Ovis aries: one gene and its partner. Each later gene encodes a partner of the first gene's protein in a complex. Links are inferred from orthologs where the notes say so. Each region holds a gene or a part of one and is shown on either strand. Other genes may lie near its edges. The genes, in order: AAGAB and AP1S3.

Region 1 (3,806 bases):
TACTCTGTTACTCAGATTATGCCTTTTGTGCAAAGAGCCTGAAGTATTTTTTAAGAACTCTCATGTATCCTCATGACATGTAAAATCCCTGAGTAGTGCATAACTACTTTCAACTGCTTTAGAGTCTCTAGCACACTGGCCACAAAAAAGAATTATGTTGATGTTTGAACAGACACCCGCAGGCTCTGTGAAACCATCAGTGTGGGACATCACACGGATCTGCTTTTCTCAGCCTCTGAGCCTCCATGGCCTGCCTTGATGAAACCTTAGTGTCTGGTCCTTGGATGGGGGGCATACCCAAGCACTGGGCCTAGAGAATTCCTCACCAAGTGGGCAGTTTGGCTGAGGGGTGAGGGGGGCTCCAGGAGTACGTGTGCACCTTTGGCTGTGGAGCAGGGAAGGCAGCAGGGCAGCAGCAGACACTTGGTGCCGCCTAGTGCCTTTGTGGCCTTAAAGCATAGGTGCTGACTCGGGTAGATACCTGCCTGCAGTAAGTAGGTGACTGCCCACGTGGTAAGAGGTCAGCCTGGAAAAAGCTTCAGGTCTAGACTCCACGGGCCCCAGTCGGGCTCCATCCCAGTTTCCAAGGCAGACCTCCCCAAGTAGCCTGCAAGTGCTTGTCTGTCTGTGGTGCTCTGTGTGACTTATGACAGGTTTCCCCCAGTAGGGAAGAAGACCTTGAAAGTCTGTAGGTGGTTTGAAGAGAGTTGAGAATGGAGCCAGGGAAGCCACAGGAGAGGAAAAGTGATGTAGGAGGAAATTATCTTTTTGAGAGAGCAGTTCTGTGACTTCGGTGCTGCCAGCCTCTTAAATTATGGGTTTCACATTCTGCTCTCAGGCAGTGATTTTTTGTTTTGGGGGCTTTTTATTGTTGTTGTTGTTTGGTTTTCCCTCCAGTTTTCCTGATCCTAAGGATATTCCTGGGCTTCCCTGATGGCTCAGTAATAAAGAATACACCTACCAATGCAGGAGGAGGTGCTGGTTTGATCTCTGGGTCGGGAAGATCCTCTGGAGAAGAGGATGGCTATCCTCTCCAGTGTTCTTGCCTGGAGAATTCCATGGACAGAGGAGCCTGGTGGGCTACAGTCCATGGAGTCGCATAGTCAGACACCACGGAGTGACTAACACTACTTAATAAATGCAAATACTGAAAGTATTGGGAACCTTAACTGAATTAAACAGAGCTTAATTTCAAGAAAGCATGAATGTTCATTTTCATCTGGTAATGATGCCTTGACGTTGATTGATTCTTTTTAATGTTTTTCAGTTGTTTAGACACTGAAATATTTGTTCATAGTAGCTATTAAAACATCAGTGCTGTTAATCTTTGCAAACAGAACTACTGAGCAGCCTTTTGTTATAATGGCCCTGCCATATATTTGATCTGGACTAATACGCCTTGATTTCAAAGTTATTCAGAATTTAGAGGGGTTTGTAATTAATAGTAACTTTTTTATAGCTAAAACTTTTATAGCGAGGAAATAGCTATCATATCATCATCACAGTCATTTTAACAGCTTTAAATGTAAATAAAACATTTCACTGATTGTACTTTTTCTCTTCAGAGAGGAACCAAGGCCTTAACCTTCTCAGCTCATTGGCTGGAGCAAACCATAGCATTGGATCAGCAGAGACCTGCCACTCAGAGGTAAAGATTTTTCCTGGATCGTTTCTCTGCTTTGGCCTTTCTTTCTTTCTGCTCATCATCATGAGTCTCTACACCATTCATCGTCTTTTCCTTTCCGTTTAAGAAGTGGTAGAGAATATCAGAAATGGGTACCAGGAGTCTGCTGTCTGTTAAGAGCAGCCTAGGTTGGCATTAAAGCAGTAAGCCCTTTCTGTTTACAGTTTGGGCTGTTCCATGTGTTTTTGCTAGAGTGCTTTTAAAAACATGCTAGAATTTCCTTGAGGCTGAAGTTTCCCCCCAGATCTTCAAATATAAAATAAAAGTAATGGTTCTTTTAAGCACTTCCTGTGTGCTCTCCAGTCTGAGGAAGGCCCTTGTCCTTAATGAGCTTAGAGGGCTGGCTTCAGCCCTCCGTCCACAAGGACTCTGGCCCATGTCTGTCCCGGCCGGCACGCTGGAGTCATGAGCGCGGTATGTAGTGCTGCGCTGTCTGCCCAGGGCCACCTTCTTCCGTCTCTGAGCTCTTTTGTGATGGGCTTGTGTCCGTTTTCAGGTTTTAAGTAAAACGTGATTCAAAACAAAACAAACAATATGTTTTTAATAGTCAAAGGCAAAATCATAACACTTTTCTATCCCTGAGGAAAAACAGCCCCAAGTTAGTGAATCTCTGGCCTTTTTTTTAATATTATTTATAATGTGACCTTGATCCTTCTTCCATCCCTCCTTGTGTCTCCCTCCTATTACTGCTTCTCTAAAGCTGAGCAGCGAGTGGAACTGTGAGCCTTTTTGGAGTTGGTTTGGAAGCAGCCTCCTGTTAGATTGTGGCTCGTGTGTGTTTTTCTCCACAGCAGCCCTGTGTGCCAGCAGCAGAGAGGACCGAATCCCTCTTGGATCATCGAGGGGCTGCTTCTAACACAGCAGACGTGCAGGTCGATAGCATTGTGGGTAAGTGCTGTGTGGCTGCCAAGTGACCGCTCTGTGGAAATTGCCAAAGCCCATGCATTGGGGCACAAATCATGCAAAGGGAAACTGACTCTAAACAGGGGTAAGGGAAGGACATTGACCGTGGTTATTGTTTAGTTGCTCTTTTGCGACCCAGTGGACTGTAGCCCACCAGGCCCCTCTGTCCATGGGATTTCCCAGGTAAGAATACTGGCGTGGGCTGCCATTCCCTTCTCCAGGGGATCTCCGTACCTAGGGATCGGAACTTCGTCACCTGCAGTGGGTCCTTTGCCACTGAGCCTCCAGGGAGTCCAAGGACGTCAGCACTGACCCCCAAATGAATGTGAGCCTTGTGGGCGGCTGCAGAAAAGGCAGGGAGAGTAAATACATTATAGTACAAATCCGTGGGCACCACTGATTGGCTCAGCAGGATCTTGATTAAGATCTGAGTTAAAGTAGATCGAACCAGGTGGTGAAACAGCTTTATATCTCCATATTCCACCATTTTTTCATGGTATTTTACGGTAGTCAGAATTGGTAACAAGAAGAATATAGTCTTATAAGCCCTCTCATATTCTTTTAAAGTTCTTTTATGTCCACATTCTCATTTGGTAATGAAGTTTGGCAGATAAGTTACTTTACAGAGATGAAGGTATGGCCCAGAGCAGTTTAATAACTTGTCCAAGGGCATCGAACAAGAAAGTCTTGGAGCTGAAACTGAAATGCAGTTTGCTGTCCAAAAAGCTAGAAGGCCAGGGCACTTAGTTGACAGTAACTCTAAATGTTCTTTTGTTAGGAAACTACTCACATCACTAATACTTTAAATGCCACGGAGGGCCCATGTGCAATAATAAGTCTTAAAAAAATTTTTTCTGTTTATAAAATAATCCATAAAGAAAACTCAACTAATTGGCTATAGAAGTATATTAAGAAGAAAAAATTGTGTATAACTTCATTTCTCTCCGGTTTATTCAGTCTTGTCCTCTCGGTCGAACCCTTCATATTAGCTTTGAAACCTACCAAAGTCTCTGCCGTGAGAACAAACTATTGACCACACTGAGTGAGATGGGAGGATAAGAACTGACCTAAAGAACCTGGGGAAGTGGTGTCCGGACTGGATGCCGTGAGCCAGAAACAAAGAGAACTGAGCGTAAATCCTACACTCTGCTTAACAGACTTGATTCTTACAGGGATATGGGTTTGAAATTCTGAAAGTAAATATATTTTACATATATTA
Region 2 (4,351 bases), on another chromosome or scaffold:
ACTCATCACTAAGATGGTGACGCCATCCAACCATCTCATCCTCTGTTGCCCCTCCTCTTCCTGCCCTGAATCATTCCCAGCATCAGGGTCTTTTCCAGTGACTTGGCTCTTCACATCAGATGGCTAAAAGTATTGGAGCTTCAGCTTCCGCATGAGTTCTTCATGAATATTCAGAGTTGATTTCCTTTAGGGTAGACTGTTTGATCTCCTTGCTGTCCAAGAGATTCTCAAGAGTCTTCTCCAGCACCGCAGTTTGAAAGCATCAATTCTTCAGTGCTCAGCCTTCTTTAAGGTCCAACTCTCATATCCCTATTGGACTGCTGGAAAAATCATAGGTTTGATTGTGGGACTTTTGTTGGCAAAACAATGTCTCTGCTTTTTAATATGATGTCTAGGTTTGTCATAGCTTTTCTTCCAAGGAGCAAGCGCATGGGGTATATGGAGTTTATATCTTCAGGTCACCTGGGCTGGATCACACCGTACAAGGCAGATCTGAGGATATTCACCAGTTTTGATTTCCAGAAACCACTCAGGCAAAGGTTCTTAACCTTTTCAGGGTCACAGATCTCTTTAGGTATTTGCTAAAACCAATCGACTCAACCAAAAGAACATGAAAATGCACTCAAAAACACTACGTACAACTTAGGGTTTGGAGACTTCTAACGTCCCAGGTGGAAACTCAAGGCTTAAGAAAAACCAAGGGGAGAAGAAGAAAGATTAGGAAGTCCACGCCAGAGTCTTAGGAGAGAGTTCTTAAAATCGGGTCTGCTTAAAATGACCTATGTTCTTGGATTGTATACACACACACACACATATGAAGAAAAAAAAAAAAAACAACTCGGCGGCAAGAGATCGCTTCTGGTTCCGGCTCTACCAAATGCTCCCTCCCTTACTTGGTTCAGGAGAAGACAACCAGTGACACTTCCTGCCGCAAGTGTCTGAGGAAATCTCTCAGCCAGGTCTAATCAACGTTTGCGGAATGAATGAAATCACATTCACGGCGCGGGTGAATCAGGAAAGTAGCTCCTTTCGCGCTCCCTGCGCAGGGCTCCTCAGTGCGGAACCCGCGGAGCTCTTGGTGCTCCGCGCACCGCAGATCAGGCCGGAGGCCGAGGTCCGCGCGCAGGTGTATTCGCACCTAGGGCCGCCCGCGCGGCGCGGCGCGGCGCGGGGCGGGGCCAGCTGCGGCGGGGCGGGGCCATCGGGGGCGGGGCCATCGGGGGCGGGGCGGGGCAGGAGGAGGGAGCAGAAAGCAGGGCGTCGGGAAACGGAGGAGAGGGGAGGAGAAAGGAGGGTGAGAAGAGATGAGGGAAGGGAAAGAGCGGGAGGCGGGCGAGCAGGAGGGGGAAGGAGGGAGGTGCGGGGGCCGGGGGGAGGAAGTGCGGTAGGGAGGGAGCGGGAGGAGCGGGAGGGAGGCAGGGCAGCGGCGCGGGGCGGAGTCTGCAAACTTTCGCTTCGAGAGCATTGTGGGAAGCAGCCATGGTCTGATGCCGGCGCCTCACCTGTCAGCCGCGCCGGCTCCAGCGCTCGCGTCTCGCCCTCGCGTCCCCCGCGCTCGTCCCTCGCCGGCCGGGGACGGCGGCGGCCCGGCCACCATGGTGAGTGCGGGAGAGCTGGGCGGCGGCGCGGACCCCGGCGGCTGTGTGCGGGCGCCCTCCCCAAGCACCTGCCGCGCTGGGCCGGGCGCGCGGCCGGTAGGGGAGCAGCCCGGTCGCGCCCCGCGGTCCCCCACCCCGCCATCCCGACCCCGGCCCGGGACCCCAGGGACCCCAGCTCGGGTCCCTCGCGGCCACGGGGCGCCGCTGCTCCATTCATTCGACCGTTTTTGCTGAGCGCTTAGTCTGTGCCAGGCGCGGTGCCAGGCGGCGGAGACGTCGTGGGGACCCGGTGGAGCCCTGGCTGTTGGCGGCTTATCTTCTAGGAGGAGGATGTGGAAGGAGGGAGATGAGTAATAGACCAGTAAAATCGAAATAACTTCCGAGAGTAAGTGCTCTGAAGTCTCAAGTACAACCGGAGGCAGGGATGGAGAGGCAGCTATAAAAGAGGGGCAAGAAGCGAAGGCCTCCCAGAGGAGGTGACATCTGAGCTGTTGGAAGTCCTAGGGGGGCATTGCAGGTAGTGGGAGCAGAGAGAGCAAAGGCTGGAGAGGAGGAACCCTTGCTTCTAGTGGGACAGGTTGTCAGGTACCAGATAAGAAATCCTCATAAGCCCAGTTAAGGGGTTTGGATTTTATTCCAACCGAGTGGAGGGGGACCAGTCTGCACTGATCCAGTTGAGAGATCCTGGTTGCAGTTGATGGAAGCAGTAGCTTCAAGTGCCTCTCTCGTTCTTGCTTTCTGTTCAGGGCAGGTTTTTTTTTTTTTTTTTTTTGAGTATGCAGTGGCCTGAACAGCACCGAGTTCCACTTCCCCAGGTGAGCTCACGTCCCAAATCAAAGGAGGAACAAAAGTGACCCGCACTCTGTACTTGAGTACTCGCTGCAGGCGGAGCAAGAAGGCCCCGAGGGTTACAAAAGTTGATGGACAAGGAGGGCAGCGGAGTGCTGAGCTCCTGGTCCAGAAGATCACAGATGGTGGTTCCTAGGTTTGGCTGCATAGACTGGAGGCACCATTGTTGTTTGTTGAGGGTTCCTTGTAAATACAGCATGGTGCAAAAAGGAACCTGTAAATAATGGAGCAACTCTTCTGGCTTGCTCAGGTTTCTCAAGGAACACAGTGACATATGTGCAGCACACTGCACCGTTTGCCTCATGAAGAATGGAATGAGGCCCTGGAGTTTGTGAGTTGCAAAAATCTTCCATCCAGAAAGCTGGTACAAGTTCTGGACAACACTTGCAGTGGAGTTTTATTTTTTCTTGCTGGTGTCAATGATGAGTTGATCAAAAATGTGCAGTGTCTCTTGTTTCTCATCAGACCTTGCCCAGTGGGAGATATTGATGTTTTTGAGTGCTTGTGATAACCAACTCTATCTTCTACCTTCATGATCTCAGTTAGTTCGTGCAACATCCAACCAAATGAAAGTATTATGCTCTTTGCATTTTACCTGCTCTGGCCTGTCCCAGCAACATGTCCTTGGATCATGCCTTGACCTCTCTATGCCAGTTTGCTCATTTATAAAGTAGGGATAATAATTGATCCTAACTCATAAGGCAGTGGTTCTCAAACTTTGGTCTGGGTACGTTTAGGAGTCCCCAAGGTTTTTTAGAAGTCCAGAAGGCCAAAACTCTTTTCATAATAACACAAAGGTATTATTTACCCTTTACACGTTCATTCCTACATGAGTATACGTGATGTTTTCTCAAGGTTAACCTGACCTGGGAGAGTGCAGCAGAGTGAAGGCAAAGGCACAAGGCCAGTCCAGCTGTCTTCTATTGAGCCAGACTTTAAGGAAATTTGCCAAAATGTAAAACAATGCCATTCTAATTTTTTTCCTTTGGAAAATATTGTTACTGTTCATTAAAGAGCTTCTGTTAATGTGTAATAGGTTGATTATAGTTTTAAGTGAATTAATAAATTCATGGGGTTGCAAACAGTCGGACACGACTGAGCGACTGAAGTGAAGTGTAATAAGTATCTAAATTTTTTCTGTGCTTAAATTCGCAATACAGTAAACATCAATACAACTTACATAAACAAAAAGTCTTTGGGGCTGAAGTTTTAAAAATATATATACGTGTTTTGCTTTGTTGTTTCATTTAATTAATACCTTATTTTTATTATTTGGGGCTGAGTTTTTAAGAGTGAAAAGAATCCCAGGCAGGTTCTGTGCATGAATGCAAGTGAAAGCTGGTAGACCAGCTTTGCCCATTGTAAGTGCTCAGTGACTGTCACTTCCTATCTTTTATTACTGTCACGTGGCAGAGAAGCATAAGTGGCCCTCCCCATTGCCCAGCATCTCTAGGCTTTTTAGTGAGGATCACTTTGTGACTCCTTGTTTTTATTCTGCTTCGTTCCTGACTCTTGCTGCTAGGAAACTAGAAGATGCCCACAGCATCTTGCTGGTACCTACACACAGAAAATGGTCCTTGGTTCCACTGGGCTAGTGATCTAGATTTCAAGGGCAGAAATTTCATACACTTTGCATCTAGGAGCAGTGCTTATAGCTGGGTAGTTCTGTTTGCATCAACTTTGTACTTTTGCACCCTGCCTTTGTTTTAGAAATCTCTACCTTGGGAAATAAAGCTAGGGTTGTTGTGTTTTCAGAGATCCCCACTGGCTGTGAGACCACTGCACTTAAACACTTAACTGGGGAGAATTTACTATTGCATGGTTGCCAGTGTTGATGGAAGAAGGAGGATTTTAAAACTTTGCTCATTTATGTATTTGTTTTCCCTTGGACAGAGGAGCCTGGT

What was found.
Region 2: the proteins of AAGAB (region 1) and AP1S3 are in contact, whole or in part, in a crystal structure (PDB 9DDT), measured with the Homo sapiens proteins. The link is inferred for Ovis aries from reciprocal best matches to the Homo sapiens genes AAGAB and AP1S3. Residues at the interface, in NP_078942.3 of Homo sapiens: Asn51, Lys52, Tyr53, Tyr54, Glu108, Val109, Met110, Ile111, Gln128, Ile132, Gly135, Phe136, Glu137, Asp151, Phe153, Pro154, Glu155, Arg161, Gln164, Ala165, Asn167, Ala168, Asn169, Val170, Met176; in NP_001034658.1 of Homo sapiens: Arg10, Gln11, Lys13, Arg15, Gln37, Leu40, Ser41, Arg61, Tyr62, Ala63, Ser64, His85, Val88, Asp92, Phe95, Val98, Glu100, Leu101, Asp102, Ile104, Phe105, Asn106.

Annotation. Positions count from the first base shown.
Region 1 is NC_056060.1:14,007,795-14,011,600, reverse strand, and holds part of AAGAB (alpha- and gamma-adaptin-binding protein p34), read left to right. Parts: intron 1-1,565; coding exon 1,566-1,648; intron 1,649-2,475; coding exon 2,476-2,572; intron 2,573-3,806. UniProt on the Homo sapiens protein: May be involved in endocytic recycling of growth factor receptors such as EGFR.
Region 2 is NC_056055.1:226,006,465-226,010,815, reverse strand, and holds the start of AP1S3 (AP-1 complex subunit sigma-3), read left to right. Parts: upstream 1-1,460; 5' UTR 1,461-1,487; coding exon 1,488-1,598; intron 1,599-2,380; coding exon of another isoform or gene 2,381-2,413; intron 2,414-4,351. UniProt on the Homo sapiens protein: Subunit of clathrin-associated adaptor protein complex 1 that plays a role in protein sorting in the late-Golgi/trans-Golgi network (TGN) and/or endosomes.